Rhinolophus ferrumequinum: one gene and its partner. The protein of the gene in region 1 purifies or fractionates together with the protein of each later gene. This does not show direct contact. Links are inferred from orthologs where the notes say so. Each region holds a gene or a part of one and is shown in the gene's direction. Other genes may lie near its edges. The genes, in order: HAUS5 and HAUS2.

What was found.
Region 2: the proteins of HAUS5 (region 1) and HAUS2 purify together in Homo sapiens (affinity purification with mass spectrometry; 5 studies listed by BioGRID and IntAct, with this or other methods). This does not show direct contact. The link is inferred for Rhinolophus ferrumequinum from reciprocal best matches to the Homo sapiens genes HAUS5 and HAUS2.

Annotation. Positions count from the first base shown.
Region 1 is NC_046298.1:36,007,100-36,022,502, forward strand, and holds the start of HAUS5 (HAUS augmin-like complex subunit 5), read left to right. Parts: upstream 1-7,598; 5' UTR 7,599-7,641; coding exon 7,642-7,739; intron 7,740-8,447; coding exon 8,448-8,510; intron 8,511-8,599; coding exon 8,600-8,632; intron 8,633-8,751; coding exon 8,752-8,776; intron 8,777-9,379; coding exon 9,380-9,485; intron 9,486-9,564; coding exon 9,565-9,724; intron 9,725-10,839; coding exon 10,840-10,909; intron 10,910-10,990; coding exon 10,991-11,073; intron 11,074-11,580; coding exon 11,581-11,638; intron 11,639-11,792; coding exon 11,793-11,917; intron 11,918-12,104; coding exon 12,105-12,168; intron 12,169-12,277; coding exon 12,278-12,408; intron 12,409-12,606; coding exon 12,607-12,769; intron 12,770-12,972; coding exon 12,973-13,053; intron 13,054-13,141; coding exon 13,142-13,287; intron 13,288-13,542; coding exon 13,543-13,654; intron 13,655-13,736; coding exon 13,737-13,869; intron 13,870-15,403.
Region 2 is NC_046289.1:62,990,321-63,005,380, reverse strand, and holds the start of HAUS2 (HAUS augmin-like complex subunit 2), read left to right. Parts: upstream 1-9,158; 5' UTR 9,159-9,221; coding exon 9,222-9,314; intron 9,315-14,442; coding exon 14,443-14,535; intron 14,536-14,897; coding exon 14,898-14,967; intron 14,968-15,060. Other genes in the region: SNAP23 (synaptosomal-associated protein 23), read left to right, coding at 1-36; LRRC57 (leucine-rich repeat-containing protein 57), read right to left, coding at 5,063-5,104, 5,565-5,750, 7,649-7,917, 8,462-8,600, 8,707-8,790.

The DNA of each region.
Region 1 (15,403 bases):
CCAATAAAATTGAAGGGAATGTTTCAGCTTTTCATGTGTGTGCATGTGAGACATTGATTTCAGCTTTGTGAGAATCTGAGCAGAGAACTCAGACATAATGTTTCTGGACTTCTCACCTACAGAACTGTGAGTTAATAAATGGCTGCTGTTTTAACCCACTAAGTGTATGGTGATTTCTTACATAGCAATAGGAAACTAATGTGCTGACCATTATAAAAGAAAACTAGGAATCAATAACAGAAAGATAACAGGAAAATCTCCAAACACTTGGGAAATAACCTACGCAAGTCAAAATAATTCATGGGTGAGGGGAAATCAGAAAATGTTCTTAACTGATTAAAACTGAAGTACTTGTATACAGTACATCAAAATATGTAGGATGTAATGAAAGCAGTCTTTAGAAGTAAATGTACAATCTCAAATGCTTATATTAGAAAATAAGAACTGTCTCAAATTAACAATATAAGCTTCCAATTTAAGAAAGTAGAAAAATAAGAGCAAAACAAACCCAAAGCAAACAGAAGAAAGAAGAGGTAGGAGTGGAAATTAATGAAATTGAAAAGGGAAACAATAGGGAAGAACAATGAAATCAAAGCTGGTTCTTTGAAAAGACCAATAAAACTGATAAACTTATAAGACTCACAAAATAAAAGAGAAAACACAAAATAAAAGAGAAAACACAAATATCAAAAATGAAGGAGAGAATATCACTACAGACCCCCTGAAACATTAAAGTAAAAATAAGGGACCATTACGAACAATGCTTCATATGTAAATTTTACAACTTAGATGAAAATTGACCCATTTTTCAAAAACAAAATCCAAAAACTGATCGAGGACAAAGAGATTATGTGAGTAATTTTATATCTGTTAAAGAAATTGATTTAGTAACGGAAAACCTTCTGAAAAAAGAAATCTCCAGACCCAGATGGTTTCCCTTGTAAATTGTACCAAACAAATACCATCATTTCCACACCATCTCTTCAGAAAATAGAAGAGAAGGGACTATTTCCCAACTCATTTTATGAGGCTAGCATTATCTTAATACTAAACCCAGATAAAGACTGTGTACAGAACACTACAGACCAATATCTCTCATGAATATAGACAGAAAAATTCTCAATGAAATATTAGAAAACCAAAAACAGAAGTATATAAATAGCATACACCATCACCAACATGGGTTCTCCCAAGAATTCAAAGTTGGTTCAATACTAGAAAATCAATCAACGTAATTCACTATATTAACTGTCCAAAGAAGGAAAACCACATGATTAATTGAGGCACAAAAGGCAATTCAACATCCATTCACAATAAAAACTCAGCAAACCAGAACTAACAGGGAACTTCCTCATCCTGATAAAAGATATCTACAGAAAACCTATAGCTACCATCATATGTAATGGTGAAAGAGAGAAGGCTTTCTTCCTGAAATGTGCAATAAGACAAGGATGTCCACTCTCACCACTTCTATCCACATCAGATAGAAGTCTTAATCAGCACAAGAAAAAGAAATAAAGGGCATACTGATTATAAAGGAAGAAATAAAACTACAGTTATTTGCAGATGACATGATTGTCTATGTAGAAAATCCCAAAGGAATCCAAAAAAAAAAAAAAAAGCCTCCTAGAATACATCAAATGCGGTTAGCAATATCACAGGTTGCAATATCGACATGCAAAAATCGATTGTATTTCCATGTGCTATCAAGGAACAATCAGAAAATAATTTTTAAAAAAATACCATTTTCAATAGCTCCCAAAAAGCAAGTAGTTAGATGTAAATCTAAAGTATCATGTGTAGGGACCGGCCCGGTGGCTCAGGCGGTTAGAGCTCCATGCTCCTAACTCTGAAGGCTGCCGGTTTGATTCCCACATGGCCCAGTGGGCTCTCAACCACAAGGTTGCCGGTTCAACTCCTGCATGGGATGGTGGGGTGGGTGCACCCCCTGCAACTAGCAACGGGCAACTGGACCTGGGAACTGAGCTGCACCCTCCACAACTAAGATTGAAAGGACAACAACTTGACTTGGAAAAAAGTCCTGGAAGTACACACTGTTCCCCCAATAAAGTCCTGTTCCCCTTCCCCCATAAAATTTTAATAAATAAATAAATAAAAATAAAGTATCATGTGTATGAGCTCTGTGTTTAAACTATAGCTGCTGATGAAAGAAATAAAACCTAAGTAAATGGAGAGCCTTCTTATGGTCATGAATTGGAAGGCTCAACATCTCTCCAAAATTGAGATGAAATTCTAATGCAATTCCTATTAAGAGACCAGAAAAGATTTGTAGATCTAGAAATGCGTAGTCAAAATAATTCTGAAAAAGAATAAAGCTGGAGTACCCACATTACCCAATTTTTAAGAATCACTGTAGATTTACATTGATAAGACACTGTGGTATTGACAACTGGGCAGACACATAGATCAACAGCATGGAATAAGGACTACAGAAAGAAATCTACATATATGGCCAATTTATTTTAAAAAGAAATCCAAAGGCAATTTATCAAAGAAAGAATAGTATTTTTAATGGTGTTAGAATAACTGAACCACCATATGCGAAACATCATTGATTTTGACTAAAACCTCACATCTTCTATGACTCAATGTGGATCATGGATCTAAATGTAAAATATAAAGCTATCAAACTTTAAGATGAAAACATGGGAGAACATCTTCCTGACCCTTGGTTAAGCAGAGTTCTTAGATATGATACCAAAAACATGTCCCTAAAAGAAAGAAATGTAGATTTCATCAATATTAAAAAACTTTTGCTCTGTAAATAACACTGTTAGAAAATGATGAGATCAGCTACAGACCCAGACAAAATATTTGCAAATCACATATCTGACAAAGGACTTGTATCTAAAATATATAAATGACACTGAAACTTCACTGTGATAAAAAACAATTTTTAATTGCATTTGTTGGGATAACATTGGTTAACGACATTATGTAAATTTCAGGTGTACATTATATTATGACATTGGTATATTCTATTGCGTGCTCACCACCCAAAGTCTAGTTTCCTTCTGTTACCATATACGTATCTGACTTCCTTTGCCCACTTTGTTCTCCCCCCACTCCCTCCCCTCTGATACCCAAAATTCTCTTGACTGTATCTATGAGTTTTAAAACAAACCAATTTTTTAAGGGGCAAAAGACTTGAACTAACACTTCACCGAAAAGGATATACAATGGCAAATAGGCACAAGAACAGATGTTAATTCTTACAAATATCACCCTTCACAACCTAGACAACCTGACTACAACTTGTTAAATGACCCCTCACAAGGTACCTAAAGCAATCCAAGACTCCTAGGTACACATCACTCTTGCCCTAATGGTGTCTCCCCAAACACTCCCGGAATGATCAATCACTTGAGAGAGTAGAAAGAGCCTGAACTCCTTCAGACCAATCAGCAGCCATGTGAGTATTGGCTTCAATGCCCTATCATGCAACCTCCAATCAGCCAATAGAAGTGGAAAGATAGACTAGGAAGCGGGGCCTAAATGGTCTCCATGGTAATCCCTGCCAGGCTGAGGTGAAGGAGAGGCTCTATGTAGTGCCAAATCCAAATGCCCTAATGTGGGTGCCTGAAGGGAGGGGCGTGGAGTTTTGGAGGGTGAGGGTGGAAGGAAGAGAATAGTGGGGGTAGAAGGGGAATGAGGGTCAAGGATGGGTTCATAATGAGGCAGAGAAGGTGTTATAATTAGAGAAGTATTTAGAGGGAACACAAGTTTAGGAGAAATCAGAGGCTGTAGTAGGTGGACACAGGAGTTCAAAGGTCAGGGAGGTGGTTGCAGAGGTAGAGAGAAGGTCTTAGAGAAAGAGCAGGACTTTATAAGGGGACAGAGAAAGGCTATGAGTGACACGAAAAGGACTTCAGGTTTATAGGTGCTCAAAGAAGGTCTTAGAAGAACCAGGTAAGAAGTTATGTGGGAGTTTATGGATGAACAATAAAGGGTCATAGCAGGACCAGACAGATTCACAGGGACCAAGGGAAGGATATTATAAATGTCACAAGCAGAGAGCTACTGATGACATTATAAGTTTTATAGGGTGAGACTTTTATAAGAAACAAAGTTTTACAGATGAAAAGTGAGTGTTAAAAGTATTGAGTGAGGGTCTTCTTAGTAGGGTGTTTTATAGGGGTAAAGAGAAGGTTGCTTGGGTGACAATGAGGGTGTTATAGGAACAAAGTGTGATAGTGGATCTGTTGAGGTTTCAGGGACCTAGAGAAAATCACATATTTGACAAAGGACTGTGTCCAAAATATATAAAAGACCCTCAAAACTAAACTTGTAAAAAAAACAAGTCCCTGGATTGATCAATCACCCAAGAGTGTAAGAAGGACTGGCAGGCCATCAGACCAATCAGCAATCAGGCGAGTATTGGCTTCCCGCCATATCACAGACAATCTCCAACCAGCCAATGAAAGTAAACAGCCAGGATAGGAGGAGGGGCCTGCCTGGTCTCCATGGTAATCCCCAGCGGGTTGGAGTGAGGGAGAGGCTCCGTGTAGCCAGATCCAGATGCCCTAATGGGGGTGTTTCAGGGGACAGGGAGGGAATTTATGGGGGAGGGGGTACAGGTGGGAGGGAAGGAGTTAAAGGGGAATGAGGGGCAAGGAAGTCTTCCTAAGCAGGCAAAGAGGGTGTTATAAATTGAGAAGTATTTAGAGGGAGCACAGCTTTAAGAGAACTGGGAGGCTGTAATAAGTGGATGCAAAAGGAGTTCAAAGGGTCAAGAAGCTGGTTAGAGAGAACATCTTAGAGGGAGGAATGGCAGGCCTTTATAAAGAAACAGAGACAAGCTAGGAGTGACAGGAGAAGGACTTAGAGTTGTTTTTAACAACTAGTGCTCAAGTTGTTTTTATTACAGTTTAGTTTTAAGGGTCATTTATATATTTTGGATACAGTCTTTTGTCAGACACATGATTTACACATATTTTCTCTGGGTCCCTGAAACCTCAGCTGATCCACTATCACATAGGTGCTTAAAGAAGGTCTTAGAGGAGCCTAGTGAGAGCTTGTGGAGCAGGGTTGAGGAGGGAAGAGTTTATGGGTCACAGCAGGATCAGACAGATTCATAGGGACAAAGTGAGGGATATTATAAATGGGGCAACAGAGAACTACAGACATTAGAAGTTTCATAGGATGAGAGTTTTATAAGGGACAATAAAGGTTTTACAGATGAAAAGTGAGTGTTAAAGTATTGAGTGAGGGTCTTCTTAGTAGGGTGTTTTATAGGTGCAAAGAGAAGTTTGATTGGGTGACAGTGAGGGTGTTATAGGAACGAAGTGTGATAGTGGATCTGTTAAGGTTTCAGGGAGCACAAATGAGAATCTTAAGAGTCAGTAAAGGATTTTGGGGTGGGATGGAGACAGTGGAAGTAGAAGGAGACAAGAGAGACATGCTGTAGAGGTCTGCAAGGCAGTTATAGAGGAGGTTATAGGAGACAGGGAAAGGGTTAGAGAGTAATTATAGGGCATAGGGGGAGGTGGGGGCTGGGACTTCCAGGGGACAGGGAGGTATTAACAGGGGTAGGGAGAGGTTAGAAGGGACATGGCTGAGTTAGATAGTCAATGAGTTTTAAAGGGAGGGGTCAATGAAGAATTTATGGGAGACAAGGAGAGATGTGTTAGTGTGAAAAGGGAAGTCAGAGGGGATGATGGAATCCAGAAGCCATACTAAGTCATAACCCACTCTCTTTCCCCAGGCGTTTGAAATTTTGCCTGGCAAGCCCCCCAAAGATTACATGTGCCTATCGATTTTGGCCTTCTTCCTGTGTTTTCCCATAGGCATTATAGCCTTGATCTTCTCTATCCAGGTGAGAAGCTGCATCACGCCAGTCCTTGCCCTCCTCTCCCTCTCCATCCTGGCCATAATCCTGACTCAAATTCTTCCTTGTTTCCCGGCTTTGGGTTCAGGTCCTCACCCTACATCCGTACAGTTCTATGGTTTACTCCCGTACAATACCTGTTTAAGCCCATCTATTCCTGTTCTACCTCTCCCCTCAAATCAGACAAGGCACAGCAACAAGTGGAATGAACGAGCCTTGGCAGCTGAGACCTCCCACCAAGTCTTCTACATTGCAGTCATAGGGATTGTTATGGGAAGCCTCATCATATTCATCCTCTTGATTTTCTACATGATGGACTTATTTTCTCGGTAACATCCTCTACAGTTCATGAACAAACCAACAAATATATACAACTGTGTTACTAACCCTTGGCTCTAAGTATTCAGTTGGGCCAAATGGGACTGGTGCTCCTCACTGTCTGGAGTGTCAAGTGTTGTCAACTTGAGTGAACAATTTGAGGTGGTTGATGGGGGAAGGAAGTGGTAGTTCAGGCAGCCCACTGGGCCAGAGCTCAAGACCAACCTTGGGACCATGCCAAGAGATGGGGGCCATAAGAGACAGGGTAGGGCAGCCTCCACTCCTGCCAATATTTGTGCATTCATGCCAGAAATCTATTTATGTTGACCAAGGGCCTTGACTATGCTGTCTGACTCTAGGAACATAGTAGTCACCAGTCAAGTTCCAACCACACCCCCTCATAACTTACAAACCAGAGTGGAAGGTAAATATATCACCAGATGGTTACAGTCCCTATTTCAAGGTCTGCTCCACCTAATGCCCACCAGAGCCCAGGGCCTCATGCTGCATGAGCCCCCTCTACAGCCAACAACCCCCTACACTCAGGCCCCTCCTATCTGCTCCATAGCCCTACTGTGGCCCACCACTGTCCTCGGGCCCCACTCCTCATCCTGCCCCACGCTCCTCCCTGGGTTCCCAGCTTTAGTGTCACTCCACCACCTGCCTCACCCCCCACCCCCGTTTGTTTTTTCAACAACTATTTAGAGAGTCAGACTCTGCACTGGACACTGAGGACAGACTGTTGACCTAGGCAAGCATGTTGAATAAAAGGTCCCTGAATGTTGCCATTTTTCAGGGCTCCATCTGAGGCTGACTGCGCTCTCCGGAACTCCAGCCCTAGTATCCAGTGCTTTCTGGGGCACCCCACAGACCTCTTACACGCCCTGCGTCCCAAATTGACAAAACCCTGCTGCTCACTTTCTACCATCCCTACCTGGTGATGCGTCTATGTCCCCCACTGAATTGTGAGCTCCCTAGCATGGAGACTGGGGCTGTCTCAGCCACTGAGGTGACCCCAGCCTAGGGGTCATGAATGTTATGGAATGGTAAGGACAAATGAATCTGGAAGAAAGCATGACAGGGAGATACTGGGTCATGGTATCCCTTACTCAGACCTGCGACAAGAGCAGTAAGTTTGGCATCTCTCCTGGTTCTCATCCTCCTAAGATGAAAGTCCCATTTTGTTAAGAAAATCAAGAGAGACCTTAGGGACGTTTTACCTCATAGGGAACAACTGGTAGTGAGAGGAAGGTTGCAAAAAGCAAGTGAGCCCCACCGCTTTTGCACGCCCCCGCCATCGTCTTTCAACCCGACCCATTCTGGAGGAGTGAGAGATGCAGGACAGCTCCTTGCAAAGCCTGGAGGCCCTGGTCTACCCGGCAACCGATGATGTCACTGTCGGCGCGCTGGGGACGTCAGAGCCGGGCGCCAAGCTCGAAGAGGGTGCGGGAAGCGGCGGCGGCCGAGGCGCTGTCATGGAGTTAGTGCAGGAAGTGCGGGAACTGGTATGCTGGGCGGCGGAAGAGATGGAGGCACCCGAGGCAGCCCGAGCCCCCGAGTCGACGCTGCGCAGGTGAGGGCCGCTCTGGGAGTGAGGACTCCCCATGCTGGAGATGATGTCTCTGGAAGAACCCCTTCTTTACTGAAGATGCGCCTTCCTCCTCCTTCGCCCCAGGGACAATAACCCCTAAGGGCGCACCCCCCCCACCCCCCGTGTAGTATATATCTAGGAAGAGAATACTGAACTTGAGTGAGGACGTCCTGGCGGTAACCCCCACACTCCATCCCCACCCTTGAGACCGCCCAGAGTGAGGTCCCTGGCACCAGTGAGGGTCGTCCGTGATGCGTTAATGAAGCCCCCTTCCCGTGTTGTGTTTAAATAGGATCTCCTGGGTAAGGCTGTCCCTGCAGCACCCCACCACCCACCACCCACCCCAGCCAGTGAGGACACTCTGGAGTCAGCAAACCCATTGGAGATTGAATCTGTATGAGTGAACCCCGCATCCAGTAATGAAAGCACTTCCTGGCAGTATACCCCCACCCCCACCTCTGGAAGTAACTGGAAATAATCCTCTCCCAGAAGAAAGGGAGCACCCCACCAGAGAATGAAATATCCCCACACCCAGTGAGAGGCCCACACTCTCAGTGACCCACCCAGGAGGGAATATCTTACCCCAAAAAGTATGAACCCTCCCCCCCACCAGAAATGAGATTCCTTAGTAAAGACCTTCCCCACCACCCCGAGAATGAGAATCCTCCTACCTGGGTGATGTCCCCACAGGCTGTGTCTGGGCCAGGGGGCTGACATCTGGGCCTACGTCTTGCGGCACGTGCACAGCCAGAGGTGAGCCTGGCTGCATGAAGGAGGCTGTGGCCGGGGAGGGGACACAGGCATGTCCCACAGTAACTCTTCCTCCTACCTTTCCACTGCAGAAATGTCAAGAAGATCCGGGGAAACCTACTCTGGTAACTGGTCCTCAACACTCTCCCTTCCTATCTTCCCCAGTCCCATCCAGCCCTGTCCCCACCTTCAGCCTCACCCTGGAAGCCCCTGTCGTCCCCTAACTCTGGCCTCATTTCCTCAGGTATGGCCACCAGTGCAATCCAGAGGTGAGAAGTATGTGCTACAAGGTTTTTTTTTCATCCAGAAAGAGGACTTGTAGATCTTCTGCTCTAGGCCCAGGCTTGTGTTGGGTGACGCTGGGGACACTGACTCACAAGACAGCCCCAATCCATGCACTCAGGGTTTACAGTCCAGAGGGAGACAGTCAGGAGCTGGGGGGGGCGGGGTATGGACATGAGGCATCAAAGTTGGTGAGGGAAGATGAGAGAATGGACTAGTTTGGGAGAGATTCTGAGACCAGTGTGGGACCCAGTCAGTATGTGCCCGGAGCCCAGGTGACATCTAGGGGGAGGCTTCCAGGAGACCTCGGGACTCCTAGCTGTGGGCTCACTGGGACAGAGATGTGGTATCATCAGTACAGAGACGGGAAATGGGTTGGGAGGCTGATATCATTCTAGGAGGAAGGAGGGGGGCCAGTAGCGTTCCCTAGTGCTCTTCTGGAGCTAGGGGTTCAGACACATGACCAGCTTAGGAAAAACCCTCTACCACACCCCCGGGCGGGTGGGGAGCTTGGTGCCCCGCAAAGCACAGTCAGGCCAGGCCGAGCCCCAGCCAGGTGACGCATCTGATCCTGCACCTGATCCCACCAGGCACGTCGGAAGTTGGAGCTGGAAGCTGCTGTCGCCCGCCTGCAGGCAGAGATCCAAGAGTTAGACCAGAGCCTGGAGCTAATGGATCGAGAGAGCGAGGCTCAGGGTGACCCATGGGACTGGACAGATGGGCAGCAGAAGGGAGGCTGGGGAAGTACTGATGGCCACCCCTGTTCCTCCCACAGACACAGCCCTGGAGCAGGCACTGCAGGGCATGCAAGACACCCAGCGGCGTGCTCTCCTCCTCCGGGCACAAGCTGGGGCCGTGCGAAGACAGCAGCGTCGGCTCCAACATCCCATGCAGTGGCTACAGAATCAGCTCAGGCGCCTGCAGGACATAGAGAGGTGAGCCTCAGGTGCCCAGGGACCAGCCATCACCAGGCTGGGTAGACAGACCTTTTCCTTAGAGACCCCAGGACTCTGTCCTGACCCCTTCTTGAGTTCCAGATGTCTGAGCTCCACTCGTTAGGTTTTAAAGTCCTTGAGGCCAGGAAGTTTTGTCATCTCAACCACCTGTATTTCCAGTGACTAGAATGGTGCCAACTGTATATCTAGAACACCAGTGTTGGAAAAGAACAGTAAACAAGGGACAACCCTGCCCTCATGGAGCTTACACTCCGAGGCAGAGGAGGCAGATGGTAAACTAGGAAGCAAACACACCGTAGAATTACAGGTAGAGATAAGTGCTGTGAGGGAACGGTCATATGATAGAAGGTAGAAGGGAGGTGCTATTCTAGGTAGGATGGTCAGAGAAGGTCTCTCTGAAGAGGTAACATTTGAGTTGGGGAAGGAATTTCCATGAAGAGGGGACAGCCAGATCAGAGGCCCTGAACTTGGGATGTGGGAAGAATAGCCAGGAGGGCAGTTCAGCTTAAGTATCATAGGCGAGAGGAACAGCATGAGGAGGTGAGATTGGAGAGGTGGACAAAGCACCATGGAGGCGTGGGAATTCTACTCTGAGGCTGAGTTGATGCCCTGGCTTAGCCAGTTACACCTGTGTGACCTTGGGCAAAATTTGTGCCTCAGTTTCTAACATCTATAGAATGGGAATAATATTACCTGCTTTATAAGGTTGGCATGATAATTAAGTGAGTTAAGTCATGCAAAGTGCTCAGAAGAGTTTGTTACCCATTGCTGTTATTCTGAGGGTGATGAGGACATATCATATTGTCTTTGAGGTTTTTGAGCAGAACAGTGACTTGATCTGTCTGAGGTTTTAACAGGATCATTAGCTACTGGTGGAGAGCAGACTGAAGGGGGCGAGAGCAGGCAGACCAGTGAGGAGGCTAATGTAGTCATCCAGCCAGATGGCAGTGGCCTAACTTTGGAGGTGGCCCCTGAGCTCCAGGGTCAGTGATCCCTGTAACTAGCTTTGCTGGCAGCAGGAGGGGGCACAGATATCAGTTCTCCCAGCTCCCTCCTTCCAGGGACCCCAGCCCCAACTGCACTCCTCTCTCCAGGAAGGCCAAAGTGGATATAACCTTTGGACCCTTGACATCAGCAGCCCTGGGCCTAGAGCCTGAGGTCCTGGTAAGAGTCCTGGGTCATGGGGGAAGGGGTGGGGACCCAGGTGGACCCCTGGGTCCTCCTCATGCCCCATTCTCTTCCCAGGGTGATGTCCGAACAGCCTGTACCCTCCGAACCCAGTTCCTACAGAACCTCCTGATTCCTCAGACCAAAGGAGGCAGCTTCCTGTGAGTGTCCCCCAGCTCCCAGAAACCCTGGAGAGAACTTGGGCTTTGGCAGGAGTTACGTACTTGGCTGTTAATTCCTCGGACACTGGGCCTCTGGGCTGTGTCAGCCCCAGGGCCTTCCCTGACAGGGCTCCCCGGCGAGGAAGAGGTGGAGACAGACCCATCACACAGTGGTTAGGGCTATTGGGGAATGGGGAAAGAAGCCTGAGGGGCTCTGGGTTCCCAGAGGAGACACCCTGCCCAGTTAAGGACACAAGAAGGATGGGTTCTCTAGGGAAGAGACTTAGCAAGGGTAAAAGGCTGAGTGGGTTTTCCAGGCAAGCAGCACATGTGTAAGGGCCCAAGGCCAGCAAGTGGGTATAAGTGGGGAACTCGAGTCTAGCCAGCATAGATGAACTTGGTTTTCTCGTCTGTAAATTGGGGGCAGTGACAGCTCCCACTTTGTAGGGTGGTGGTAATCACAGATGTGTGTTGTAACATTCTCTGTCCCTTCCCCCAACCCCACAGAACCTCTCGAGATGACCACTTTGGAGCTTCCTACCAGCAGTGGCTTAGCTCAGTGGAGGTGAGGAGGGCTCTCAGAAAAGGCCACGCCCACTGCCCCATGATCAAACCTCAGGATGCCAGCACCTGATTCTTTATCGCAGCCTGGTCCCCACAGGGTCCGAGCTCACCGCCCTGCCCCCATCCTGCCCTGACTTCACCCCTCCCTCTACTAGACACTGTTGACAAGCCACCCTCCAGGCCATGTCCTGGCCGCCTTGGAGCACCTGGCTGCAGAGCGGGAGGCAGAGATCCGGTCCCTGTGCAGTCCGGACGGGCTCCGAGATACAGAGATAGCCAGGTGTGAAGTAGAGTGCTTCTGTAGTCAGGCAGCACGGGTGATTGGGTGAGCAGGGACAGGGTCAGGACCTGCTCATGAGGGTGGAACTGAAAGCAAGGGACCGAACCCCGGTGGGCTGACATTGGCTACCCTCGAAGGTCCAAGCAAGGAGACAGGCTCCTCTCTCAGCAGTGTCACCCATCCCTAGGTCCGAGGAACCAGACCAGTCAGACTCCAGCCAGGCCCTGCCGTCCATGGTGCATCTCATCCAGGTGACCGGCAGGCACCCTTCCTAGACTCCATCCCCTTCCCATGCCAAGACCACTCGATCCCCTCACCCCCAGGGACGACACCCACCCTGACTTTGTACCCGTGCCACAGGAGGGCTGGCAGACTGTGGGTACACTGGTCACCCAGCGGGGCCCGCTCCTGAAGGAGCATCAAATTCTGACCCGGCGCCTGCAGAGCCTGATGGAGGAGGTGGCAAGATGTACCCCCGAACCCAGCGAGAGGTGAGGGGGCTCCCTGGGCAGAGGCCTCTGGGCCATCTCTCTCCTTAGGGTCTCAGGATACTAGACTTTTTCTGCCCCCGTGGTTCCGTCTGCCTCCCGGCTCTGTGTGTTTGTGGCTCCTACAGATCTTATCTCCCCGCCTCCACTGTGAGTCTTAGTCACCTTCCTGTCCCTTGCTCTCTCCTGCTTGTCCCCCAGGCAGGCATTGCTGCTGGAGCTCCGGAGCTGTGGCCTGTGGGCAGAGCTCAAGGCCCTGTGTACCCAGAGCCACGAGCTGGAGGAGGCAGCTGTGCAGCGGCAGCTTCTGCTGCAGGAGCTACAGGCCAAACAACAGCGGATCCTGCACTGGCGCCGGCTGATGGTGAGAAGTGGGACCCCGGGGGAGATGGCAGGGCCTGGTGGCCGGCCGAGTGAGGCTGGGAGCCTTATGATCCAGAGCTGGGCCTCCTGGTCTGGGGTGAGGCCCAGGGTGAGTGTCTCAAGAGGAAGCAGGACCTGTGCAAAGGGGAGGGCAGAGCGAGAGGCTGGGAGGTTGGAAGGAAAAGCAGTTTGTTTCGGTTCCAGGAGGAGACACAGGAACAGGTCCGCTTGCTCATCAAGGGCAACTCAGCCAGCAAGACACACTTGTGCCGGAGCCCCGGGGAGGTGAGCTGGGATTTGGATAGGACCCAGTCTCCTAAGGAAGGGTCTGGTGCTCTCAGGCTGTCCCTCCTACCCCTTTCCTACCGCACAGGTGCTGGCTCTGGTTCAGCGAAAAGTGGCCCCCACCTCTGAAGCCGTGGCACCACAGAGCCAGGAGCTGCTTCACTGTCTGGAGGAGGAGGCCCGGCATCTGCCCCACCTTCTGCTGGGCACCCTGCTTCGGCACAGCCCCAGAGGGTGAGACTAGGACCACCCCTCCATCCCCTCGCTAGGATGACTGTCAGTCCCTGGGCCACTGGGTCTCAATAATCCCAGACCCCCCGTTTTCCCAGGCTGCCAGACCTCACCCTCAGGTCCTCAGCCCCACTCTGGAATCCTAGTCCCCAGACCCACCTCCAAGTTCCGGGGCCTCCCGAGCCCACCTGTCAGCCCCCAGAGCCTCTGGAACCAAGCTTCCCTCTCTGTCCCACCCAACCTGGACTCTCCCCGCAGGTTGCAACCCCTGCCCACAGTCCTGCCGTCCATCCACCAGCTGCATCCTGCATCCTCAAGGGGCTCCAGCCTCATAGAGCTAAGCCACAAGCTGGGGTTACCTCCAGGGAAGGTGAGTACCTGTCCCCTAGGTGAGTACCTGTCGTCCCACTCCTATCCCTCCCAAGGTGACTGTCCTTCACCCCTCCCTCCAGGCTCCAGAGCTGCTCCTTCCAAAGGCCACCTCTCTTCGCCAGGACCTTCTGTTCCTCCAGGACCAGCGGAGTCTCCGGTGCTGGGATCTTCTCCACATGAAGACCAGCCTATCTCCAGGACCATCTACCCAGGGTAGGCCTGTCCATTCCCAGGACCGTCAGCCTCCAGAACTAATCACGACGCCCCCTGCTGCCGCAGAGCCTTGTGTGCTTCAAGCATGTCCACTAGTTGCATCTGTACAGCCGCTCCTGGGGTTAGTGCTGCCATTCTCCCCGTTTTACAGACGTAGAACCTGGACGCAGAGGCCTTGGTAGCTGCCCAGATGGCAGAGCTAGGATTTGAATCCAGGCAGTCTGACTCCTGATGGGTGTGTGCTCTAGGTGACACTGCCCATCTAATTGCCAAGTACTCCTTCGTCACCATCCAATAGTATACTTGAGTAGTTAAAAACTGGGCTATGGAGTTAAACTACCTGGATTGTCTTCTCAGCACTGTCTCTTCTTGTGTGATCTCCCTGTGCCTCAGTTTCCTCCTCAGTAAGTAAGCATAACAATAGTACCTTATACAGTTGCTAGGAAAATGGAGTCAGGTTACCCAGATGGGGCACTGAACAAAGCAGGGCGTGCAGTAAGCGCTCTGTGCTCTGGGGAGATCGCGATCATTTTGTCTACACGTGCTCAGTCTCTTCCAGTCCTTATCATGAGGGAAGTTAGGGGTTAAGATTCGGTTTACAGATGAGGAAACTGAAACTCAGAAAAGTCATTCATTCCTAGATTTTCTCAGCAAGCACTCACTGGGTACCTACCAGATGCTGGCCCCAAAAGCTCAGTGGGGAGAGAGGTGAGAATGGTCCAGCCCCAGGGCTGTCCCGATGGTACAGCAAAGAATCAAAGGATTAAATAGATAGAAGAGGTGAATTGATGACAAATGAATCGGAGTGCCATCAGCAAAGTAGGAAGAGATCACTTTCCGGCCTTTGAGTTTCGGGCTCCCTGCCTTCCCCTCTGCCATGGGCAGGGAGTGGTGTGCAGGGACAGCCCAAAACCCACCACAGCTGCGTCCAACCTCAGGGGCATCGTGGACTTTACATGTCCCAACAGGACTGAGTTCCCTCTGTTCCAAAGCAGTTTTGTTTTTCTTCGACCTGGTTTCCTTCCCTCCATACATGACTCCACCCTTCTCATCCAGGTGCCAAAGCCAGAAATGCAGGAGTCATCCTTAATTCCTTCCAGGCCCCTAGCTCCCCCCGCCCCCACCTACAACCTGTCAGCAAGCCCTGTGGGTCCCATTTCCAGAGTGCTCCAATCTTCCCTCTGCCTCAGTATCCTGTGGCTCAGGTAATGATCTGACCACAGAAGCAGCTGTAGAAAGGGCAAGTGTCGTGCCCAAGATCACGAGGCAAGGATGGGTTGGAGTCAGGATTCAGGCCCAAGGGGTCGAGCACACAGCAGGTCTGCACTTGCTCCGAGCTAGTCTGTTTGGGGCCTGTGGAGGGAGACTACACCTAGTCATAGTCCCCAGGGGGAAACAGGGCTGTAGCAGTATGAGGAGAAAGCCGTAGGGTTAAGAATGCTGGGCAGGGCTTCCAGGAGGAAAGATGGTCCCTGGGGAGTGGGTGAGGTTTTGCTCAGGAGCAGTGAGCAGCAACCATATAATGCAAACCCTC
Region 2 (15,060 bases), on another chromosome or scaffold:
GCCAATGCCAGAGCAAAGAAACTCATTGATAGCTAAAGTACTGCTGTACTTCTTTACCATTTATTCACTTGCCTAGCTCTTCCTTCAAAGTAATTGCCTTTCAGAGTTTGAAATTTTGGTTCCGCACTCTTCTAATCAGGAGATAATGTGGAAGAAGGGTAAAGAGTAACAGCCCCCTTATTTTTTTATTTTCTCTCCTCCTTGAGGGTAGGCTGCTGCTCAGGCTTCTAGAATTTTTTTTCTCAGTTTATACTCTTAGATTGGTCTCCATACGTCATATGGAGTGTTGTTTTTTCACCCTCATTTACTGTAGCAGGTTCTTCTGCTTTCAAGATTTGGAAGCATTGCCAAAGACAGCCATAAAAAAGGAAGCTAGGAGCATGGTGGGGGAGTGCAAGAAGGAGAAGCAAGAGGTAAGAGGTTGTTACCTCAGAAAACTTTCAGGCCACAAAGCAAAAAGTTGCATAGCCACAGTAAAGATTTAGTTGGGTTCAGTTTTTAATTTAAGTTGCAGTTATTGCCACCTTAGGCGAATACTTAGTTTTGGAGCTTTTATACATAATATTTTTGTTATACATCACAACTTTGCAACTTCTGCTTCAAAAAAGAATAGAAGTTTTCTTAAAGTGAGCTAAATTCCTGAACACTTTGGTGATTCATATATGTAAATAGTTTGTGATCACATTTCATATTGCACCATGCAGGGACACTTTGTGTAAATGAATAGCTTTTTATTTTCATATTAGTATCATGGTTCTATTACAGGCCTATTAACCTCATAAATTTGTCATTAGCCTTTGAAGAAAATAAATGTAAATATGTATGTGTAACATGAGAATTTCTCTCTAAAGCAGGGCTGAAAATTTTTTGGAAATTTTTGACAAAGTATATCACGTGAATTCAGATTTACCTCAATGCAAGAATTATGTTTTAGATAGGAAAACAGAAGCTTGTTTTGATCTCAGGTAGTAAAATTGTTAGATTGCTTTGAGTTTCATGTAGAATTTAGACTTTTAAAAAGCTAGAGTTCTGTTTAACTAAAAGTGATTTGGAACATTACACCTTTGTTTTGATTACTGATTGCATTATGATTCATTCTCGTAGCCTTGTGTATTGAACTATGTTCAGAATCAAATTTATTTAGATACTAAACAGTGTTATAAGAGTCTGATTGGTATTTGTCACCTTTATTTAAAAGGTAGCAAAAAAAAGCCACCTGTACACTTCAAAGCTATTAATGTAATTGGTTTGACCAATAACCATTGCTTAATCCTTACAATTAAATTTTGTAACTAATGGAACTGTTCTTTCAAATAGGTAAGTGTGTTTCTATGACTGTTTTGCGTGAGGGGCAATCATTTCATTAGCTCATATTTAACAAATTGAGCAAAGAAAGGTCCATAAATCAAGAAGCAATCCAACAGAAAGCTGCCTTTGGCATCTTTCCCATTTTTATTGGAAATACTGACAGCATTCTCCTTTCTATGATTTGTCATGAGGTACATTTTAATCATTAACTAGTTTTTTATTCATTTGCGCCTAAATACACTAGTGACTGAAAGGATAATGTTTATAAAAGAGAACTATAAGCCACTTGAGAAGATACAGATAAGATGGGAATTTTCAAAGGCTGAAGAGGAAACTAGTTCAAGTGAGATTCAGTTAGGCTCTCTGTAATAGATATGCTCCATGTCAAAAGGAGTAGTTAGGCAGGTGATGGTACATGTATAAAGTAAGAAGGTTTAAAACACTGAGGATTGTTCTATACCTAAATCCCCTTCCTAAAAGCATTTTTAAAAAATATTTTTTAACGGTTATAGCTAAAGGAAAGTTTTGAGAATACCAATATGCTATCTCCACAGTATAATTGGTAAGTGTGAGCTTAAGCACCAAATTGTCTGGATTTACACTCTAGCTCTGCCGTTTGCTGGCTGAGTGACTGTAAGACCATTTCTGTGCTTCAGTTTCCTTGTCTGTAAATGGGGATTAACAATTCCTACCTCAGAGTTATTGCAAAGACTCAACATGATAATAATGCAGGGAGAGCACTTAGAGCAGGGCCCAGCTAAGAGCTTAATAAATGATAGCTACTGTTTGTTCTCTCTAGAATGGAGCTCTTTTTGGGTCAAGGATCCCTTTGTAAATTTGATGAAAGACAACACAGCTTATTTCCCCAGAGAAATAGACACACAAACATGAATCATGCATAAATTGGTCTTGAAAACCCATCCATGAATTTCAGATTACAAAGCTTTTCAAAGATTGTGCTACTGAGAAAGAAGAGGGATGAGGCCATAAAAATTAGGCCCATAATACACTAGAAATAGAAGCTGTTGACGTAAAGTCTTTTCTGATTTTCTTCTGTAACATTGTTTGGACACTTGTTTCCATTACTTCTGAAAGGTAACTGAAGTGGTTAACACAACTTTGGAGTCACCTGAATTCAAATTTTGGTTCAGTCATTTACTATCTATGTGACCATGAGCATAATACTAACTTATAACTAAGGAGTTAAAAAACAGTATTCCCTACTGAAATCTTTTTTTTTAACAGTAGTCTCCTTCTTCAAGTTTCCAGTCTTATTATGACAATGATCTTTATCCCCTATAGTCGTGCCTTTGTTTTCTTCCTTCAGTTCTAAATTCATCCTTTAATTACCACTTCAGCTCTGTATCTTTTCCTGCCATGTGTGGATTATGAACATCCCCTTAACTTAAATTTCTATTTCCCAGACATCCTATACTCACCTGTACTTAGAATTAGTTTCTTTAGGTCACTTTCTTACTAAAATTCTAAGTTATCCCAGTTACATTCCTAGTCAGATTTGTAATTTTCAGATTGATACCCAAGTTCCTTATTCTCTAGTTGTTGTTTTTTACCCTTTTTAACTTGATGTCTGCTCCAAGCCTTTCTTTTCTGTACCACTTGGTAAATTCTATTTTAATACCTTACAGGTGAAATAAATGGCACCGTGTGAGTGCTCACTCTGTCCTGGGCACTATGCTGAATGCTTTTTATGTATCTTTTCACCACATCCTCATAATTTACCTGAGGGTAGCAGGTATTGCCTGTTACAGATGAGACTAAATGGCTCAAATTCATAGTTAGTAAATGACACTGGATTCAAACCAGGATCTTTTCAGACTCCAAGACTTATGATCGTAGTCAGTATTCTACACTGACTTCTACGCAAACTCTAAAAGAATGTGGGTGACTTAGTAGTGGTCACTAGAATGTGGGTCTCCAGCCCACAAGTCAACCTACTTTGTTAGCTCATATTTAAGTCTAAATACTTGTGTACTATAACTTGGGGTGTATTGCTTTACATAGTTCCTGCATTCAAAGAGCTCAGTTTAGCAAGAGACAGTTGAATATAGAATGTGAGAGGTGCTGTTGAAACAGATGGAAGAGCAATTAATTTGGCTTAGACTTAGAAAGGGGCTTAGACATAGGGAAGGAGCATGTTAGTAAGAGAGCATTTCTGACTGAGCCAACAATGTAAAGGCAGCTAAAGGTGAAAGACATTGCACTGTGTGTCTAAAGAGCAGAACAATCTGGTATTACTCGGTAGGCAAAGGATAGTGAAGAAAGTTTTTGGAAATCAGTCTGGGTCTAAGTTGTGCAAGTGGTGACTGTCGTAGGGATGGGGACATTGAGGTTTAATTTGTAAGTGCTGATTTAGTAGATGATAAGTACTGGTAAAATATTTAGAGAAATGTGAATTGTTCAGTGAGAAGACCAATAAGATTAATTAAACATTAAAGTTTATTTTTAAAAACTCAGTTAATAATGATAAACTGGCACCCCGTTCCTCCCCAAATTGAGAAACAAAATAACATGGGAAAAAGATTTAAAGTTAGGAGACTTCCTCGTATATATTAAATACTAGGCTGCTAAGATCTCTTGACTTAAAGGTTAAACTAGGTTTGTAAAATGAGAACTGTCAATACATGACATATAATACCTTTGTACCTTCAGTATTTCTTAATCAGCATGGGTCCGATACCACAAAATGTTTCATCAGTCACATGAAGGCATCACAGTACTCATGCAACCTGAACAGGAAACGCTTCTTCCTAATCAGTTTACTTTCAAATAAAGGAGCACTTATAGGTTAAAGTTCTCATGTCTTCCTTTTAAAGGATTAACCTTTCTTCCAGCCAAAGTTTATTACAAATTCTTTATTTAGTGTATTCTCTCCTTCAGAGAATAAACTTGATAAATATAGGTTGTTTTAAAATATCGTAGTAGTGTTTTGATAGGTAATTTGATTAGTATAGTTATAAATACAAAAAGGGAAAAGGATTACCAGAAATGAGACATTATTTCTAACAAAGATTCAGGAAAATCTTGATTATTAAAACCTCTTGTATCTTACAAGTTTTGCATATATGGTTTTAGCTCTTCGGAGCCCTCTACCAATAAGGCACCTGCAGTAGTTAGAATTTGCTACTGCAGCCTTGGGGAACATATCTTACTCTTGTATTGGTGCTTCTCTGACAAAGTACACTTCTAATCAGGACAGTCACATTCATGTACATCCTAAATTCCAAGTATAAATACTGGAACTGAACTGATAGACTGGAATAAAATCACAAATCTTTAGTAGCCTTTCACAAATTATTTGAATTTCAAAAAATGTGAAATGCTAACACAGAGATGGAATGGCAGCTGATTTTATGAAAGTTGACACGTTGAAACTAAATATGAAATTTCAAGCTGAGGTGTGGAGCTATTCTATTACCAGGCAGCACCCCCTCACTGTAGAAATAGCAACTTGCTACTGGTTCCTTAAAGCCAACATTACGATGATTTTGAAGATCAGCATTGTCCATTGCCCTAAACATGACTCAAAATGGAGCACTCTTTCTGTCTCTTGATTCCTTTTAGCTTATTTGAGATAAGCTCTAGAAAGGAAAAAGATCAAATAAAATTATAACCTCCTGGAGTATCAACAGCTCACTGCAGATGCCCTTGACAACAACAAGCGCCTTTGATTCAGCCCGATTGCAACAGGTTCCAAATCAATGTCCTGTATGGATTCCCATGCTCCTGGAGAACATCATGCAAACTTCTTCTTGGTGGCCGTGTACCTCTCCATGTACTAAAAATCATGAAAGAAAAATATGTATGGGGTATTTTGGCATGAGCAAATAGTAGCCTATTTGGGAATTGGGTTTTTATATGATTTTTTTAATTTAGATTTTATCGGATACGGTCCTTCATTTCCTACAAAATCTACCTATTCTAAATGCAAATTTAAAGTACATAGTTTTGGGGTCTTTTAAATTTTTCAGTGTTTTAATAGGAAACCTATCAAAAGACAAAGATGCTTCACCATACATGATCTAGAGAAAAAGTTATCTTGGTATAATACAAGAATTTGCACCAATATATCTTGGTACAGGAATTTGATTCTTAGAACATCTCCAAAATGGGAAACAAATCCTGTTGACAAACAGGATTATACAGACAGCCTCTAGCTGTAAACATTTATGTGGGTTACTTCACTGTTCTGTTCTCTGGAGCAGAGACTAGAAATGTAGAAGTACACTAATACCCACCTTATCATAGCCTTCTAGTTCTCGAAGTTTCTTTATTTCAAAAAGGTTGCCTTCCACAGCAAGCAGACAGATCTGGGAATCACTAAGGATGCTTTGTGGAAGCATGCTGAGCTCCAAGCAGTTCTCTTCGAGGCGAAGAACTTTCAGGCGAGGACAGCAAGATATCTTTACTGAGACCTGAGATATCTATTGAACAACCAAAAACAATAACAGGAAAAAGCATAAGTACTGTAATGGTTTTTTACTAAATTAAAACAAAAAATCTTGACTATGTGTCCTAGTTTTCCTTTTACCGCCTCCATTTTCTCACTACCTACTCATTCCAGAAGCCTCTGTCATCTGGCTTTTGTTAACTACTCCTCCACTTTTTTTTGGGGGGAGGGGGGTTTGGCTTTTTAAAGTCCACCATTGGATTTTTGGAAGTAAAATTTTCTGATAAAAGCAGAAATTTGAGAATCTCACAAGTTTACAGAAAAAAGTTACCTGGAATCCACCACCATAAACATTTTGGTTTATTTACTGGAAGTCTTTTATGTGTATAAAAATGTGTGATTGTATATCTACCCCTTCCTTGAAACTCTTGTATCTAAGTACTGGGTTTTTCTTCCTCTTGAATTATTCCTGGTTTTTGGCTTCCCTTCTTATTTCTATGGACATTTTTCAGGCAGTAGTCCCTAATACTTAATATTTGATCTCTCTAAACTTTCTCCTACAAAGCTCATCCTTTCTTAAAGCTATCATTCTGACCTCAGAATCTGTCTACATTCAAACTTCTGACCTCTATTCCACGCCTGTGTCTCGTTTTTAGTATAACATTTCCATTTGGGTGATGCACCAGCATAATCAACTCAGTATGTTTATTCTCAATAGCACCACTCTTTTAGGCTCTCAACCTTAACAACAAGCAGTTATCTTGATTCACCTCTTTTCCACGTCACCAAATTATATTTATTTTGCCTCATCCTCCAATCATCACCGGAGAACTTGTTAGAAATGCAAATTCTCAGACCCCACCCCAGACCTACTGAATCAGAAATACTGAGAGCAGGGGCCCAGTGATCTCTTAACAGGTTCCCCTGGTTGTTTTGATGCACGCTAAGATCTGAGAACTGATAAAGGCATCAGCGTAGGTGAATGGAGTGAGTGCTCCACTAATCCTTGTTTAACAATGGTTTCTAAGTTTTTCCCAAATATTCACTTTCTTTTTCTAAAAAGCTCAAGAACATACAAGAATATCCACTTAAGGAAAAGATGAGGCCAATCTCCTCTAAGACAGACTAAATTTCATAATAATGTAAGGTCACTACAATCTAGAGTAGTTTCGTCCCAATAAAACTTTTTGCAATGCTTGGAATGTTCTATATGCCATCCAATATGGTAGCCACTAGCCACATATGGCTTTTGAACCACTTAAAATATAGCTAGTGGCAGCTGGACTTGAATTTTTTAATTAATGAATTTCAATAGCCGCATGTGGCCAGTGGCTACTGTATTGGACTATAGATCTAGAAGCCCCAGAAAAACTAAAGGCCACCTGGTAGTCTTCATTATGTTTAATGTTTACCATCTGTGCCTTCTGTCTAAACCAAAGATTGTTTCTCCAGTCAGATGCATATTAACCAAAGAGCTTCCAGAGTAATGGAAACAAATTCCAAATACTGCAATCAAAGCTGTCCACTATGAAATGGGCTGTCTCCAGAATGCCTATCACTGAGAGTTTTTTCAACAAAAGCAAGATACATACTTGACAAACGTCAAAAATAGGACAACTGAATTACCTTTGATGTCCAACTCTGAGAACCTAGGAGTTGAAGCCTCTTTTCAACTCTTCCTGACATAGCTAGCTCCTTGCCAGATGACTAGAGGCATGCTTGAGGAGGATCTGAAGAACTCTTCAAGATTTGTGAGACAGTTTAACTTGAAATTATCTCACTGTTACCCATCCCACCCTCCAAAAAAATACCTACGCAGTGTCTCAACTAACTCTATGGCACTTTGGGCTTTGAAATTAGTCCAGCCCATGATACCCAGCTCCATGATGACATTTTACATAACAACCAGCTAAAACCCGTTAACCTCTAGACCTGGTTCTGGTTGAAGTTGAGTTCGATGACCTGCAGCTCCCCCACTATGTCAGGTATGCTTCGAATCTGGTTCTTAGAGAGATCCACCACATCCAGGTGCCGCAGGCTACAAAGTTGGGGTGGTAGTGCTCCCAGCCGGTTCCCAGAGAGGCTCAGGGTCTTCAGCGCTGACAATTGCCCAAAGGTAGTCGGCAGCTCTCTCAAGTGATTATTGTTGAGGCTTAGCGTTTCTAGTTTTTTCAGATTGCCTAACTCATCAGGAAGAAAAGCTGGCAAAAAAATAAATAAAGTGAACCTGACAGCTGAAAAACAACTTTGATGAAGTTTATAAAAACTATATGGCAGCCTGCTATGCCCCTTGTTAATACACACAATCCTCACGTGCCATTTTTAAGTATTGCATTTTTACCAACATAGACTTCGGAAATGAGGGTGCCATCGAAATGCAGAAAAGCAGTTATGTGTATAATGGCTCTTTGTAAAGGGGCCACCGCACAATCTGACAGCAATTTTGTGGGATTTGGAAGGGCCGCCCCTTCCCATTCCACACCCCCCCTTCCAAACTGGCAACAAAATTAGGTATTTAGATGACAAAGATGGCTTTCCCCTTCAAATTATCCCAATACCAATCATTACACCACTAGAAGAGGCTTGTAGATGTAATTACGAGAGAAAGCTGCAAGGACTCTGACATTCTCCTGCGTCTTGAGCTCTCTGAACGATTTCATAACAACAACAATCAGCTTGTGAGAGAACACCACCCTTCTTAACAGCTGATCAGTAGCAAAACCTTCCCAGACGCAAAAGCCATACTCAGTTTGTTGTTGTTCAAGGAGAGGCTCTTCAGCAGAATGAACTTCCCTATAATCATAGGCGGTAGGCTTTCGATCTTGTTGTTGGACAAGTCGATGGTCCTGAGATTGCTCGTCAGTTTCTGCAACTCTGAGGGGAACTGGAGAAAAGGGTTCACAGCACGGAGAATCCCTCACCAATTAACTTCACTGCCCCCGCCGTCCCTCTCCCTTTAAATTCTCTGGTCGGGTCCCTCCCAGTCTCACCTCGGTCAGCCCACGGTCCTTAAGCTGAAAGACTCCAGTTTTCTGCGCCGTTTCCACATGAGCGCGGAGCGCACTGTTTCCCATCCTAGCTCTGCAGCTCCGGTCCCTGCGGGAAAGAAGTGCAGCTGTCACCCCCTCGGTCCAGGAACCCAGCCACCCCGTCGGCCTCCCGGCTGGGTCTCCTGCCCCGGCTGTCACCTGCAGATCTCTGGATCTTGGGGGCCAACCCAAGAGTGGCAAGGAAGAAAGGGAAAAACAGAGCCCGACCACTTTTGCAGTTGTTCCGCGGCTACACGCCGCTAGGAGCTTATAGAGGATCAGGGAGCCCTGGACTCGCCTCCCACCCCTCCGCTCACAGCCCGCTCCACAGAAGACCCAGGACCCGCGCTCGCTGGGAATGCGCTCTCCCGGCTTCCGCCCCAACGGAAACGGCCTGTGACGTCATCGAGCTGCGCGTCGCTCGCGCCTTGCGTTCTACTTATTTTCGGCGGCACCGGGAGAGGTGGGTCTGAGCCATGGAGGCCGCGAACCCGTGGGACGAGACGTCCGAGCCAAACGCTGCCAGGCTACTGCTGGGCCGTTTCGTAGCATCGGGGTTGGTCACTCAGGTAGGAGGGCAGCGATGGCGTCATTAAGGGGTTGCCCACTGTGGTGACCGAACATCACTCAAGCGGTGGTGCTGGCTGGGGGCTGTACTAGAATAGAGGCAGATGGAGCCCCTTCCAGGCAACAGCAGATACCATTCTGCAATGGGTCTTAAGCGTAGTAGATGGTAATTCGAGTAGACGACGTGTCAAGTGTCTTATCTGCAGGCGACTATCCCAGGTCAGTTCGTGGGAGACAGTAAAGACCAGTGTTCACCCGCTTTTTTTGTCCAGTGATAACTGCCTCTAGATTGTAATGGGTGGCGGGATTGGGAAATACGGCTAGGTTAGTTAAAATATACATTCGCAAACGACGCTCGTTTGTGTGAGATGCTGAAAGATACTTGGGGCGGAAGGCTCTGGGTACAGGAGAGCTCCAGGGGAAGGTCACATTTTTAAGGTACCCCCCGGCCCCCCAAAAAAAATCCGTATTGGGGAAAAAGACCCGAAAGGCTAGAACATGAATGGAGGAAAAGATTAATTTTGAGAAGGAGAGACCAGGGAGATTAGCCCAAGGGGAGGTAGTTTTAGGTTGGACCAGAAGACATGTTCATAGGCCAAATGGAAGGAGCCAACAGAGGGAGCAATGGAAGATGTGAAGGAATAATAGAATGCAGGTGGCAGAAGTGACCAGGGAAAGTGGAATTAAGGGAAATAAGGGAAAAGAATTTTCAGATGAGGAAGTTGAGAATTTCACTAAAAAAGGAAACAAAAAAGTAGAAAGGTGAAATCATCTGCAGAGATTAGCAGTATAAACATGATGGAAGACTTATGGAAAATACTCTTTTTATGCTTAGAAGAGTCATTAGAGAATCCTACTGCCTCACAGTATTTTAAAAGTAAAGAAGCTAAGACCTAAAGAGACCAAGAAATTTGCCCAAGGTCACTCAACTAATGACGTAGCATTAGATACTAGAGCTCTCCCTTTTCTGACATAGTGATCATCCCTAAGATGAACTGTGATAGATGATACTGTGACACTATCTTCAAAGTGTTTAAACTTCAGTTGAAAAACTCTTAAATTACTTGAAGACCTAGTAACAAGACCTTACGGATTGTGGGGGAAACGAGGAGTAGTAATGAATGTATTGGAAAATAGACAAAACATACCACAGCACTCACTAGTTTTCACCTTCCTTACTTCTCTCCTGTGTTTCCTTCATACCAAGTTGCCTAGTACTCTCACTTGTTACCAGTTCTGTAACAAAATAATTTGATAACTCATACTGTAATGTAAGACATTTGGGACTTATCCATCTGGAACTATTGGTGTAAGTATAAACGCCTAAACTAAAGGAGTAAGTCTCTGGTGAGAAAATTTTAGGCATTGATGGATGAGCTGTTTGTTGGAGTGGTGGTTGTTTGGGGGAAGGACTCTTCCTAGTGTCTGTCCTTCAAGAAACAATAATTAGACAGTTACCTGTCTTCCCTATAGGTAAGACCTGCCAATCCATAGTTCCTTAAAACCATTTTAAAATCTTACTGCACAGCGAGTCCCGATGAGGAAACTTACGGGTCTGTAGCATGATTTCACTTTCAACAAATTTTGCATATGAAAACCTACCTTTATTAGGATTCAGCATTGATTCTTTCAAAATGATGTATTATGTGATCCCTTTAAACAGCCCACCCCTTAAGTGCACTTTATCCCATGTGCATTAAAAATTAAGAGTGATGCTTAAAACTGTGACACGATACATCTCTTCTAGAAAACAGCTTGTTTGAGCTTTCTTCTGTTTTGCTGTATCCATTAGAGAATTACTTAGTGAAAGAAAGGTAGGGTTAACTGTCTGTAAGATAATGAGGTATTTGCTTTCATTTATGCCCTAAGACTGCTTTAGTGGCCTTACATTCTAGATATTTTTCAGGCAACTTTGATTGAGTATGACATCTTGATCAAAGCTCTCTCTACTGGCAACACATAAGATAAGGATCTGGACCTACAAAAAAACCAGACTCTACTATTTACATATATATGTATTTCCTCGATATGTGTCCTGTCCTCCTCTGCACTTTCACCCCCATGTTAGAGCCTCTGCTCTAACTTCTCTGTTGTACAGCTCCCCTTTTAATGTCCGCCAACTAGAGTTCAGTATAAAGAAGGGACATAAAAAAGAAGAAAGGATGCCTACAGGTGTGTGTGTGTGTGTGTTACACAGTGTTGTTAGGATTTTTATATTAAGCATAAACGTCCTGGATTTCAGCTGCATGTGCCTAGAAAAAGTAAACAAATACCATAAACAGACCCCTTTTCTCAGGATTCCTTTCATTCTCTAGGGTCCCTTTGCTCCAGTGGCATGTAAAGTATATAATATATAATGGCAATAGTCAATGGTAAAGAATTTTCTCTATTCCCTAATCCTTGCTTTTTAAAAATTTTATTTAGGTGTAGGGCTAATTAACATTCTTCAAATAATTAGAATTTCTGTTTACTAGAGGAATTTGGCTGCTCTTTGTTCCTCCTTTTTGGCTCTCCCCTTCTTGAACATTCTTATTTTCCTTCTGGTTTCTTGTACAAGTTCTTGGCTAAGCTCCATTACGCAGTTGTTGAACCCAGTAGTTTACTAGTTTGCAAATGTGCAACTAAGATTAGTGAATACATATAGAGACATGGAAAGATACCAGAGAGTGAGTAAGTTACAATGAGAAATGGGAGATGTTTTACTTTCATTCACCTTCTACCGAGAGAGAGCAGAAAGACAAGTCAGGCTGATATGATGGAAATACAGTAGATTTGATTGTATCATTGCAACACTGATAACAATTTGCAGTGTGAAGTTGGAGTAATACTTAACCTCACCAATCTTCAATTTTGCCGTCAGTAAAAATATCTTGTGTTGTCTACCTCAGTGAATGGCATAAATATCTGTTCAGTCACCTGAAACAGGATCCTTGGAGTCAGTATTAACTTGACCCCAACTACCCCTGACAACTAGTAGGACTTATCAAATACATCTTCCCAGGGACTCATATCTCTGCCTTCCTTTCCTTTTTAACTGCTACTGACCTAGTTCACATTCTTATCTTCTCATCTGAAATGCTGTAGCAGCCACCTGTCTACATACCCATCCTCCAGTTTACCCTCCACTAGAGTTTTTTGTTTTATTTTTGTTGTATTTGTTGGCTAGTTACCAGAGTGAGGTTCTTTTATTATAGCAAAATCCACATAACATGAAATTTACAGTTTTAACCATCTTAAAGTATACAAATCAGTGGCATGAAGTACAGTCACAATGTTGTGAAACTATTTGCAAAACTTTTTTTATCGGGCTGGCCCGGTGGCTCAGGCGGTTGGAGCTCCATGCTCCTAACTCCGAAAGCTGCCGGTTTGATTCCCACATGGGCCAATGGGCTCTCAACCACAAGGTTGCCAGTTCGATTCCTCGACTCCCGCAAGGGATGGTGGGCAGCGCCCCCTGCAACTAGCAATGACAACTGGACCTGGGCTGAGCTGCGCCCTCCACAACTAAGACTGAAAGGACAACAACTTGAAGCTGAACGGCACCCTCCACAACTAAGATTGAAAGGACAACAACTTGACTTGGAAAAAAGTCCTGGAAGTACACACTGTTCTCCAATAAAATCCTGTTCCCCTTCCCCAATAAAAATCTTTAAAAAAAACAAACAAAAAAACCACTTTTTTATCATCCCCAGTGGTAACCCCATACTCATTAAGTACTCATTCCCCACTCCTTCTTCTCCCCAGCCCCATTGGTTTTAGTTTTCATTCTACCCCCATTTAAATTTCTAAAATATGTATTGTATATAATCATGTTACTTCTTCAGCAGAAAATTTGCAGTTGCTCTCATTTCTTCATTATGATTGCGTGTCATAGCTATCAAGATCTTCCATGAATATGCAGGAAACTATGTTTCCAGATTCATCTTCTCCTTCTCACATATCTATTAGTACTAACACAGTTTGGAGTATTTATGATAATAAGTTCTTTCTATCTAGAAAACTTTTTTCTTCCCATCCATCATGAGCTTGTTAAGGGCAAAGAGCTTGTTTCATTCATTCTTGATTTTTTTTTCCATTACCTATCTTAACAAATGTCTATAAAATTGGTTATTATCAGTCAGCAAATTTGCTGTGAAGGACCAGAGAGTAAGCGTTTGAGGCTTTTCAGTCCACATGGTTGCAAGTGGGCTGTTACATTGTGAAAGCAGCCAGAGATAATAAGTAAATGAGTGAGAAGTGGAGTTCCAATAAAACTTTATTTCTGGACCCTAAAACTTGAATTTGATATAATTTTCATGTGTCAAAATATTATTTTTCTTTTCATTTTCCCCCCAACCATTAAAAAATACAAATACCATTCTTAGCCCATAGGCTGTACAAAAACAGGCAGTGGGCTACATTTATCTCATGGGCTCTAGTTTCCTAATCCCTGTCCTATATGATCTCTAAAGTTCTTTCCTGTACTAACATTCTAGAAAAGCAGAAAAGGATACAGAAAATTATGGATGAAGCCAAGGGATGAACAAGATAACATTCTTATTCTGAGATAACATGCAATTTAAGGAGGCAATATAATGGAATGAAAGGATAAAAACGGGGTAGCCTTTTTAGAAGAGTAATTATGCCTGGACAAAACATCCCTTTATCTGAGAGTCAGAATGTGAAGAGATAATATGAACGATGTGTAACCAATAGAAGTCATTTAATGAGTCAGATAAATAACCCCTGGGGGGTAAGGGTGGGAGGGGAATGTTTGATCTTAGCCCCAGGAATGTCTGAGAGTTTAGGTCTTGGTCTTTTGTGTAGAGGTGATTCTCTACCAACCTCGGAATCCTCTGATAAGCTATCAGTAATGCAACTCAATTGTGCCTGGTACTTTAGGAAGTAATGCAAAGTGATTAAGTCTTCGTTTATTCTTAATTTTTAAATGTTGGGGCAAAGGCTTTGTGATATTGGTGGCTTTAAAAACAGGAATTACCCATCGCTACTGTTCTACTCTATACTACATTTTTCAGGGCCAGTGTTGGACATTATATATCCTCATGTTTTAGATCCATGGGCATGCTTTTCCAATGCACATAGAAACTTTTTTGTGACATATTATTGCTTTCTCTGTTCACTTTTCAATAGGAGATGCTAAATATATCTAAGAAATCAGCTTCTTGCTTTGTGAACTTCTCCAGGCTACAGCAGATCACAAATATTCAAGCTGAAATCAACCAGGTAAATTATGTTGAACTTTTTACTTTATACTTCTAGTACAGGAAAACAAAATCTTAGTTCGTTCCACCAGCAATTCTCTTGCACTTAGAACAGTGTCTAGTACATAGCCAGGTAGGTGTTTACTTATAGTAGTTAATAGTATTTGTAATAGTAATAGTAGCAGTTAGTAGTAGTAGCAGGAGCACATGGCTCGAACACCAAAATGAAAAGCTTCAGTAAATCCCCTGGGCTGTCATAACAAATCATCCTCCCACCCCTCTTAAATATTCCTGGGTTAAAGAGTGTCCATTTTTATCAGAGTTTAAGCCTTTACATCAGGATACTTCTGAGTGACCTAAATATTATTTTTGTTTTTACTGTAGAAAAACCTGGAAATTGAACTTCTAAGACTAGAAAAAGATACAGCTGATGTTGTTCATCCTTCCTTTTTGGGTAAGTGGTTTGGTTAAATGGGTAATCATTGGAATTTCAGCTTTTTCTTAGATTACCTTAAATAAGCACCAGGCATTATGATATACCATTATT